Pelodiscus sinensis: one gene and its partners. The protein of the gene in region 1 purifies or fractionates together with the protein of each later gene. This does not show direct contact. Links are inferred from orthologs where the notes say so. Each region holds a gene or a part of one and is shown on either strand. Other genes may lie near its edges. The genes, in order: NRP1, UBR2 and PLXNA1.

Evidence for each region.
Region 2: the proteins of NRP1 (region 1) and UBR2 purify together in Homo sapiens (affinity purification with mass spectrometry; 3 studies listed by BioGRID and IntAct, counting the BioPlex papers as one, with this or other methods). This does not show direct contact. The link is inferred for Pelodiscus sinensis from reciprocal best matches to the Homo sapiens genes NRP1 and UBR2.
Region 3: the proteins of NRP1 (region 1) and PLXNA1 purify together in Homo sapiens (affinity purification with western blotting; 4 studies listed by BioGRID). This does not show direct contact. The link is inferred for Pelodiscus sinensis from reciprocal best matches to the Homo sapiens genes NRP1 and PLXNA1.

Annotation. Positions count from the first base shown.
Region 1 is NC_134712.1:230,631,975-230,635,721, forward strand, and holds the start of NRP1 (neuropilin-1), read right to left. Parts: upstream 2,725-3,747; 5' UTR 1,958-2,724; coding exon 1,891-1,957; intron 1-1,890. UniProt on the Homo sapiens protein: Cell-surface receptor involved in the development of the cardiovascular system, in angiogenesis, in the formation of certain neuronal circuits and in organogenesis outside the nervous system. Mediates the chemorepulsant activity of semaphorins.
Region 2 is NC_134713.1:171,037,886-171,041,632, forward strand, and holds the start of UBR2 (E3 ubiquitin-protein ligase UBR2), read right to left. Parts: upstream 2,589-3,747; 5' UTR 2,486-2,588; coding exon 2,408-2,485; intron 1-2,407. UniProt on the Homo sapiens protein: E3 ubiquitin-protein ligase which is a component of the N-end rule pathway.
Region 3 is NC_134721.1:24,047,945-24,051,691, forward strand, and holds the start of PLXNA1 (plexin-A1), read right to left. Parts: upstream 2,111-3,747; 5' UTR 1,982-2,110; intron 1-1,981. UniProt on the Homo sapiens protein: Coreceptor for SEMA3A, SEMA3C, SEMA3F and SEMA6D. Necessary for signaling by class 3 semaphorins and subsequent remodeling of the cytoskeleton. Plays a role in axon guidance, invasive growth and cell migration.

The DNA of each region.
Region 1 (3,747 bases):
CAAAAAGCTCAAAATATGCAGCTAGTGATCACTGTGAACTGCCTTTCTGTGGTTCCAAAGGAACCTAGCATTATTTCCAGTGTGTAGCAGACTTGGGAAGTGATCCTGTCTTATTAAGTCCACTACAGCTCTGTGCAAACAACATGGCAGAATCTGGCGTCTGTTCAGTGAGTGAAATAAAACAGTGCTGCTTCTAGTCACTTGACAGAGTCACTTCAGAAGACATTGAGGCTGGACTCACTACCACCAGTACTCTTTAATCTGTGACTTCTGGGAAAGTGACTGTATAATAAGATAATGCGGACTGCTAGACTCCCTGGCTCTGTACAATCTCTTCAACACTTAATTAAGAAGAGCAGTTTCTGATGACTTTGGACCATTAGTTCTAAATAAGGTTAATGAATTAATTTAGCAGACACTAGCATTGGAAGGAGGTGGACATTGGCATTAACAGGTCTGGTAAGTCACAGAGGAGGTTAATGGCCTTGGTGACTCCAGGAGGGCTATTATGTCTATACCTACACAAGCAGCCCTGCTTCTCAGACAATTTCTTCAACAACAGCCCTCCCTATTTCTGCTCTGTTTTTAAAGGAAGACGATTACCAGTAATGTTGCAATATCACCCCTATAACACACTCCTTTTCATTTAGTCCTATAAGCTTCAGTTTAATATCTGTTATTTTACCACTTCTGCCACAGCTCCAAAGTGATGCAGAAATATGGAGCAGTCATTTCACATTTATAAATAATGGCTTCAGACAGAAAGAGGAGGTTAATGTTACTCCCCACCTTCTTACCTACAGCTTACAAGGGTTAGACCAGGCTGGATCTCACTAAAGATTCACTGCTTAAGACTGGCACATGTTTTCTTTTTTGGATGTGTTTGCTTCTGTGTCAGATCACTGAAGAAGGAATCCATTGCTTATTAAATTAGACATCCTCCTCAAAATTTATTGCAAAGAGATTAATTTCCATCATAAAATGTGATTTACATTCTCCACTCCAAGACACCACTTGTATATTAAAACAATATACCACTGCAAGTGGAGGATGCTCTCTTTTTTTAATTACTTTGATTGAAAGCCTAGTCAGGCAAAAGTAAATATTTGATAATTAGTTAATAATAATTGCTCAGGATTTGCTGGGAAAGGAAAATTTGCAGGAGTTTGCTCATATCTCTTAGTTAAATGTCAAACAATACTACAATTAGTCCATCTTAAAAAGTACACAATTCAGGGAAATAGTGTGCCAAGGCATTGTTCAAGAAGAGCACCTTCTTTTTAATTAGCTATGTTTTCAAGTGTTGCCTGAAAGTAAACTAGATATTAAAGTCATTGTTATGAGATTTCTCTATTACACTTGAATCCTAAACCCTTGCAAGCCTATCACATTCTTCTATAGACACTATTCAAGTTCCATGAGAACTCCAGACTATTGCAATAAATAGGTTAGGTCTTATTTGACAAGACTACCTGCTAGGCATCTACAACTATAAAAGATGATAGTCTGAACTCCCCCCATCCCCGGCACAAAAGCCTTCCTTTAAGGTGCTTGTTATCTTGCAGATTTTAAGTCTTATTTAATTGCCTATGGGAGGAAACATTATTAAGATAATTGGCTGCTCTAAACTTGTGAAAGCGAGCAGTCCCGCTTTAGATAACAACCAAAAGGGGCTGAAAATAAAGTTTAAAGGGCGTGTGATGATTATGTGACAGGAGGGTGCAAATCATTTGTACTGAAAAGTTCCTCTTATTCTAATATCAGGTTGATCTTCCTTCCAGCGCAAAACAGATCTCATTGTTTATTAGAACTCACCACTGGGCCCTAACTCTGGAAATATTCTCTGAATTAGTTAATAACTTGAAATCGGTTGTCTTCACTGTCACTTACCGCTCCTTAAAGCCCTGGCTAGGGTGAAGGTGAGGGCTGCATATTGCAAAAGAAGTCCCCAATCCATCTTCCTTTCTGATTGTAGAAGGAGAGAGAGGGGAAAAAACTCCTCACTCCTCACAGCACACAACTCCTCTCAGCTCTTAAATCCTCCGGCAGGAGAGGGGAGCAGAAGGCTCGGTCCGCAGCAGCAGCTGAGTCCCGGGTGGCAGAGACGCTTCTTTTTGTGTATGTGTCTCAAGTCGCCTGCATCCTGTCATTTAGCTCTGGTTTCCTCTCCCTTTTCCCACAGTCGCTCCTTTCCCAGGCGTCGCTGCCCCTGCCATTTCCAAAGAGTCTAGAAAGCCAACTGACAACAACAGCAACAAATCCTGGAGGCTTCTGGAGCTCCCGGAAGATTTCTCCTCGGGAGGGGTCCGGGAGGAGGGGGATCTGCAGAGAGGAGAGAGAGACGATGAGCGGGGAGAGACCGGAGTTTTGCAAACTGCCTCCCTCTCTTCTCCAGAGCAGCTCGCCTGCAACTCAGCCACACAAACAAGTTTGCCCCCGCGCTGTCCCCTTTGTACGGGGCCCCCAGCAGCCGCCAGTGTTCGTGCCTAAGACTGACCTGCTGTGTAGGGGGAGAGTGCAGGGCACCACGGCTGGCTACGGCCGGGCACCTGCAAATGGGACGTTGCTGCCTGGCGGGTTAGCGGCTCTGACTGGCATCCAGGCGGAGGACTGGGATCGCAGGGAAGTGTGAAGCGCCGGGCTGCTTCTCGCGCCGGGCGGCTCCTCCCTGCAGCCTGAGGAGAAGCGCAACTCAGTGGCAATAAGAGAGGAAGAGGAGCCGCCGTCTCCACAGCCCCAGTCCCCTCCCCCTCCCCGCCCTCTTCCTCCTCCTCCTCCTCCTCCTCAGCCCCCCAAGACATCGGCAGAAAGGAAGGACCAACAAACAAACAGGACACGCTGGGGTCTGAACTTCAGAGGGGGCTGGAAGCCACGGCGAGAGGCGGCGGGGGGGGGGGGGGGGGAGAGAGGCCCGCCCCTTTCCCTTTGAAGACAGCAGGTCTGGGCGCCAGGTAAAGCCAAGTGGAGCTGACAAAGCGTGCGGTATCCAGCTGCACCGGGACAGAGCCGGAGGCCACGGCGCGGTCATTAAGCAACAGATTCCAGCGCAGCCCCTGCTGCTTGCATAGTGCCCGCTGGGCACTGCCCATCACCTCGTCCCGTCACCTCCCATCCACGACGCGGCGCGCCCTGTGCTCACCCCCCGGCATGGCTCAGCGCCCAGCGTGTCCGTGAGCCGCCGTCCCTCCTCTCCCTTTCCCGCCGCCTCCTTGGCTCTAGCCTCTCCACAGTCAGGCTCTTCTTCCCACCGGGCTCATTGTCCCTTATGGTCACTCTCCAGGGCTCGCTGCCCGCTTTGTGCAGCCCAGTGTACCCAGCCTTTCTGACTCCCGCCCCGCTGCGCTGGGTCACCACCATCCGCCCCCCACCACACACCACCCTGCGCATTCACCAGCACGGACCCCGGCCTGCGTTATGTGGCGTGCCCACCATCCCTGCTGTTCACTGCCACCGTCCGTCCTGCACCTTCCAGCGCATCCACCATCGCTGCCCCCATCCTGCTTTGTGCAGTGCGCTCAGCGCTGCCCACCCCTGGCCATGCACCGCACAGGGCGCTCGGGCTCCAGCACCGCCGTGTACCCCGCAGTAGGTCTCCCCTCTCTCGCCCTGAGTGTCCAGTTGTGCTCGCTATCCACAGTCTGGCATCCCCGCTGTCTGCTACTATGTGGCCAGTGCCCATCCCACCCCTAGTCCCACAGCCCCGTCTGTCCATACACACGCCCCACTGTGTGTCACTGCGCGACTAAA
Region 2 (3,747 bases), on another chromosome or scaffold:
TTCCCCCCTTACTGACTAATGGATGGAAATTCTATTAACTAGTCAATTAGTTGATTAAATGCATGTAACATCCCTAATAAGTACACATTAAAATGTTATGCTTCAGTGCCACAAGCTGCCTATTGTCCTCTCTGTCCCCCCCGAACCCACCACAGCTACAACCTGTGTCTAAAGAATCCACATGACTTCACTGGGGTTTTTAAACATTCGATTCACAAGTCCTGGCCTGCCTAAATAGGAATCAGAAGCAAAGTAGTATGGACTATTACAGGCTAAACCACTCTAGGCTGGCACTCTTTGGTCCAGCAACATCTGTGGTCTGGCATGATTTTAGTTAGCCAGATGTGCAGTTATTATGGGTGTGGCCAAGAGTCCCACGATCCCATAATGTTTATTTACAGCTACCAGTCCTGGCTCTCAGTGTTCTGTGCTATTATTTAGCTCTAATTTACCCTTAAATGTCTTCTAAGAGCCCAGTAAGCAGTAGGAGTATTTGTGATGCTGATAGATAATATTGACCTCCTGTGTGGTTCAGCAAATTCTCTGGTTCAGCACTGGTCAGGTCCCAAGGATGCCAGACTAGAGAGGTTCAACCTGTACGAGGAAAAAGTACTACATTCCAGAGCACAATCAAATGAGCTTTTTTTCCTGAACAGTCACAAAAAAATGACTGACAAAATGAGTAACAGGAAAAACATGACAGAAATCAGTACTGGACAGTGAAAATACTAAATATGGCAAGGTTCACTTTACAAGCATGCAAGTCTGGCAACCAGAGATCAGTAGGCAAGGCTCAGAGCTGGTTCCAGTTCAAAAGTATTTCTGACTCAAAGACCTTGCAAAAAGTCTAATTAACAATGCAAAGCATGTGTATTTATGTACTTTAATGTAAAACAAAATCAAAAGGATATTTCAGAAAATTGATCACTTCAGAAGAATTAAATGGCAAAAAAAAAAAAATTACCACAAAGTGTATAATTTAGTCTCTAACATATTTATTGCATATTTGAAAGACATCACTGCATGTAAATATTGATACGTAAAATGACGTGTGGCCGAAAAAGGGACCAAATTACATTTTATCACAGGATGAGAGGATCTTATTAGAAACTATACAATTCATGGTCTGTTGCTGCTTCTTTCCCCAAAGGGCCCTACTTAGTCTCCAGTAACAGCTCCCCTTTGCCACCTTATACACTCTAGTTCTTATAAATGTTTGAAGAACCTGTAACAATTACCATGTCATGATTATGTAAGTATTTTAAATATCCACTGTGTGAAAAGTGTTTTTATTTCCCTACATCTAATAACACAGCACCTGAATAAAATGTGACGAAATAAGGGAATAAATCAAATTTATCATTGAAATAATTTCACATTTGCCACCACAAGTGTCCATTAAAAGAGATAACTTAAATATTAAAAGCATAAAAACATGATAATTTGAATCATGGAATTTTTTTTCTGATAAGGTAATTATAAATCTGTTATTGACATTTACAAATAAAGCTCTGATGCTATGAACAGTTACACCCAAGAGAGCCCACTGAATTACATATATGAACCATAGAACACTCATACAAAAGTACTTAGTTCCATTGAACACTACTCTTAAATGTTCCCAAAAAGGGAATGCTTCTCTTTCTCCACTCTCCATGAGCATAAGAGGTCAGTTATCTTGTGACTGAATTTTAAGGTACAGTGTAACCCCAAATACAGTTGGCACAGAAAAACAGCTGCTTGTCAGAGAGAGGAGAAAGGGAAAAAAAAACTTAGGAAATCCACAACCCTGCAAATAGGTGTATGGGAGCAGACCACTGCTCTCTCACACAATCCCACTGAAATCAATAGGTTGCTGTGCATGGATCTGTACTCATGAAGCTCTTTCCAAGCTTGGGGCCTAAGCAGCTGAGGCGGGTAGAAGGAAACACTGTTTTTAAAACCTTCTCCCAAGCAATCTTAAGAACAAAACTTAAAAACTGCGAAGGGAAGAGGAGCCAGCAACCCGAAATACAACCTGTTGAAATCAGAGACTGCCGGGCAAGTGACCAGCCTGGGAGAGGAAGCCGTAGAAGTGGGACTCGAGTAAGGCTTGGCACAAGCCAAGCAGACGGGAGAGCTGACTTTGCTCTTCGCTTCCACGTCCTGTCACACCTCAGCGGGCTTGACACGGCAGCAAGTTAACACGAGAGAGTCTCTAGTTCACGGGGCCCCTTGAAACAGCCCCGCCACAATCGCCCCTCGCCATCAAACATATTTACCTCCCTGCCACCTCCGCCCGCCCCTAAGGCAGCGCGAGAGATCGCCTCCCCCCACTGCCGGGCCTGGCCCTACGGACCCCCCTGCCCACACACCCAGCCCGCCCGCAGGCCCGCTCCCCTAACGGCCCCCGGGGGACGAGCCTCACCACGGCAGCCTCCTCGGCGGAACATTCCAGCAAGCTCCTGTCAATGGCCTGAACCTCCGTCTCCAAGTCCGACGCCATCTTCCTCCCCCCTCCAGCGGCACCACCAAGTAGGTGACACCCGGAACCGGACCCAGCCGGCCTCCCCGCGGGGGGAACCCACTTCCGCTTCTGCCCCTCCCCGTTCCTCGCCGCCGGGCGGGGTATAACTGCCCTCTCCCTTCCGCCGCGGAGACGCCATCGTGAGCTGGCGGTGCATTGTGGGGGATGTAGTCCTAGCGCTGGAGCTGGCCCTCTGTCCTTCCTTACAGAGGTCCCTTCGCTTGGCTGGTTGACTGACGTCATGGCCCCTCTGCCTCCCCCCCCCCACCTCCCCATTCCCGGTGCTGCCCAGGCTTTGAGACCCTGACCACTGCGCTGGGGACCAGTGCCTCTCATATTGGCCTACAGGTTTGCTGCTGCTTGTCCTAAGCAATGCACCACCTATGGCAGCTTCCCCACCTCCTTATGGTCGTTGCCAAGGTCCTACAAAATCAGCGTCTCATTCTATTTCGGTATATTTCTGAAGATTTTATATATGGTAAATTTCATGATTTCAGATATTTAAATCTGAAATTTTACAGTGTTGTACTTGTAGGGGTTCTTCTGACCCAGGAAAGAGTTTGGGAGGGGATGGCAAGTTGTAGGTAGTTGCAGTACTGCTACCCCTACTTCTGCACAGCTGCTAGCAGCAGCATTGCCTTCAGAGGCTGGAGAGTGGAGGCTGCTGGCCAGAAATCAAGCTCTGAAGGCAAAGCTACTGCCAGCAGCAGCTTAGAAGTAAGAATGGCATGGCATGGCATGGCATGGTATGGTATTGCTCCACTTACCTCTGCGCTGCTGTCTGCACAGTTGAGTTGTCAGTCAGCAACTGCCACTTTCCAACCACCCAACTCTGAAAGGCTTTAGTGTGCATGTGGGTCATGTTCCCAAGAATTTTCTCCACCACTAAGAGATCTAGAAATTTACTTTTTTCTATTTTTAATTGCATAAATCCAGAAGTTGGATCTTTAAGACAAATACAAATAGTGCAAAGGTTGGCAGTGCTACAGTTACACTATTGTGCAAGTAATTCTGTGGCTCCTGAAGAGCTAAGAATATAAGAACAGCCACATTGGGTAACACCAAAGGTCCATCCAGTATAATATCCTGTCTTCTGACAGTAGCCCCAGGTACCCAGAGAGAATGAACAGAACAAATAATCAAGTGAGCTATCCCCATTACCTATTTTCAGCTTGTGGAAAACAGAGATTAAGAACTCCATTCCTGGCTTCCTCCATCAACTTATCTAATTCATTTTTAAC
Region 3 (3,747 bases), on another chromosome or scaffold:
GTTCCAGTGTATGATAGACTCAGGTTTGGAGTCTGCGGAGGTACAGGAGTGTTATGATGCTGCGGACAGATGGGGGCTTGGCCCCAAATTGGGGCTTGTTGGCCAGGCTTCATTTTTAAATAAAATATGTCAAACACAAAATGTTTCAGCGTTGTCTTTATTTATGAGAGGGGCAGGGAACCTGTTTTGAGTCAGGGGTCACTGACCCACAGAAAAGTCAGTCGGGGCCACACAAGTGAGATGCAAAAAAAAACAACTGCTCCAACCTCCCTCCCCCCCCCCCCAAGCCTCACTAATGTGGCCCAACTGTGCTGGTGGGGGCAGGTTGCTGGGGTTTGGCCAGGGGGACGGGACAGAGACAGCTAGGGCCAGTACCTGGGGATCCTGGTTCTCAGGAAGCACACTGGCTGCTCTTCCCCTCCCCTCCCCCAGGAACCTCCCTGCTCTAACCCAATCCCCCTCCTCCCCACTTTAACTTAATTCTGGGGTCCTGGAGCCACCGCTACAGCCACGTGTCTCCCTCCAGGCGCTGGGGCATGTGCGCTGAGCGGCTGGCACACCATGCACACCCCCGCCAACCCAATCCCCCTCCCTTCCGTTCCCCAGAGCCAGACACCTCCCCTCCCCACTCTAACCCAATCCTCCTCTACCACTAACCTTATGCCCAGGTCCCAGAGTTGCCACTGGCGCCACCGCCACCCCTGAAGCCCTCGTCACTGCCACTGCCTGCGCTCAGCAGCCGGCTACTAGCACATACAGACTGGGACATGGTCTGCAACCTGGCCTGCACATGCAGGATATGACACAGTACGCTGGGGGCCGTGAGCAGCTGACCTGAGCGGTTCCGGGTTCCATCCGGGTTCTGTCAGGAGCCGCCATTTTTTTTTCATGCGACTCGTGAGCCGCGGGTTGGCCACCTCTGGGTTAACCGGTTAAACACGGTTAACGGATTAAAGGGAGGCTAGGGGGAATGGGTTGCTCCAGCCTCACGGGGGTAGAGCAGCCACCCTGCCATGGACAGGGGCTGTTCCAGCCAACCGGTCAGAACAACCCCTGCCTGCAGTGGGCCCCGAGGCTGGTGCAGTTCCCCGCTCTCAGTGGACAGCGAGCTGCTCCAGCCCCTACTGGTTAACCAGAACCAGTGTGCAGCACCCATTAAGGTGAGGCTTACTAGTTAATCCATTAACCATTCTCATCCCTAGCTCAGACTAGAACCCAGAAGGCTCCACTCCGAATCCACAGCCCTACCTAGATGATTCTTCCCTCCCAAAGCCCAAACCAGAAGCCAGGATTCCTTAATGTGATGCTCCCTACTCTAACCACTCCACAAGCCTTTGTCTCTGGCCTTTCTACTGCCCCACTGTGCACCAACCCCCAGTGCCTTCTTTTACAGAGCAGAGCCTACAAAGGGTTACCCTTGTAATTAGCAGCTACTTGGGAAGGCAGCACAACACCAAAGCAGGAGGAACTTTATTTTTTAATCTATTTTTTTTTTAAAAAAAGCCTCAGCGCAAGCCTGCTTTTAAATTCAAATGTGCAATATGGGCCAGCGCCTTGGAACCAGACTGAAACAGCGGATTTGGGCAAGGAAACAAGGAATATTTCATTTCAGCTCCGTCCAAGCCGTCTTGATTTATACAGTACTTTGTGCAGGCAGAAAAAACCATTCTCAGGGCTTTGCAGCTTTAGTAATTAGCTCTCCGCCTACCGCCCCACACAATGGGCAGGTGACAATGGAAAGGCACATGTCAGAAGCAGGGGATGCCCAGGGGACTGGGCAAGTGAGGCCAAGTTCTCACCTCTGGCGTACTGGTTCCAATAGCAGCAAATCAGTGAGGGCTCAGGGTTGGGACTGCTATGTGTGGGGAGCCCTGTGGATCAAGGCTCAGGTGCACAGCGAGAACCCCTTGTTAGCAATGGCACAGCTGAACCAGTGCACAGGTCAGCTGCAAGTCATAATCACAACAGTAATAACGCCTACCTCCGACACAGCCGGTGTGTCCAGGGACAAGCCAGGCCCAACACCATTTCAGTCACCACTGTTGCACCCTGCGCTGATCAGGGTGCTTTATTGATCACATCCGCATAGCACTGGCATGCACACCCTCACTGAGCTTCCAAAGTCCAGTCCAGGCCTGCAGAGGGGTCAGATCAAACCTAGGCGGGATTAGTCAGGGCAGCCTCTTCTCCGGCTGTGCCAAAGCCCTGGTCAGGCCTCCAAGAGGGACAGGGCACTGCAGTTACTCACACATTACCTGAGGGGCTCATTCGGTGGCCTGCATGAAAAGAGATGGGGGGGACTCTGGCCAGTCCCCAGAGGGCGGATGTGCTCATCATTAAACTCCTCACCCCAAGGACACTCTCTGGAAATCTCTGCAGTAAGGAAAGAGCTCACCATTCTGGAGGTGCGGTGAACATTCCTGCATGTGTACACGCGTGTGCGTGTGTGTGTGTAAATGACACAAGATGACATCATAGGACTTTTCTGTCTCTAATGTATGTGGTTCTGTGACAATATGGACTCCCCTGGCCTCCCCTCTCACCTGTAAGAGTTGCCTCTCCCCAAGCCTGTACCCAAGAATTTCTGGGGTGTGTGTGCAAGCTCTGAGAGGCTGGTGGCTGCCCTGTCCCCCCATGGCCCAACAGTCCCCCGCCTCCCCACAGCCCAGCCCCACCCCCAGCCTCGCTCCTGGGTGAGGAAGGGGGGAATCATCCCCAGTCTTCTCAGGCTGGCCAGAGCACGGGGGGTGGGGGTGGGGGACAAACAGCTCAGTGGTGGGCATGAAAAGCATCGAAGATCCAATCCTTCCCTGTACTCTTCAGCCGCACTTTCCTGACTGCTGCAATACCCTTTGCAGAGTAGCTAACAGATACCTTTCAGATAGCAAGTGCATTGCGGAGCCAGCTGGGAGAGGCACAGGCCAAAGGGCCCCTGGAGGGTCACTCAGCCTGGCCAGCATCACCTAGGAGCCCAGGTGGAGAGCAGCTTCAGGGGCTGGTGGCCACACTCCGTGGCAAAATTGGAGGGGAAGGACACATCACATCTGTGACCTGATGATTACAGTGCAGCCCCAAGAGGCTGAGCCTATCTATCTGCAGACCACTGTTCTGGGGACAGGGAATGCAACAGGGCACCGAAAAACTGGATTAAGGGAGGTGGGGAGAAAAAACCAAACCTGGGGAACCACAGTATTAGCTGGCTGAGTGAGCTATGGGAGATGAAGCGCAGCACATCTCTGGGGGTACCACTGCCATCTGCTGGTCAAATGGCGGGATAGGTTTTTTTCCTGGATATATCCCTTCACTTCACCCCACGTGGCACAGGGAGACTCGCCTATAGAATCACCCTCCTGTGCACAGACACACTCACGCAACCCTACCTTCTTGCACAGGGATCCATAAACTCTCACGCCCCAAAGAAACATTCCTGCAAAAAGACTCATTGCTACATGCACCGTTCTGCAGAGCTGCACCGTAACACACATACCCCTACGTCTACAAACCAACCCATACAGCAATAGCCCATTCAACGAGACAAAATCTGTACAGCCACCCTACCACGCGTGCACACGGAGACATGCACAGGTGGCTGAACTCAGAAGACTGTGGCAGCTCCCATTCAGCATCAGGCCAGCCCTGCTCCAGGTTCACAACATGTTGGTTAGGAAAGCCATTTTTCTCCCTTAAGTCGCCACTTCACCAACACAATATGCCCCACTTTGATCACTGGGGCATCCCAAACCACTA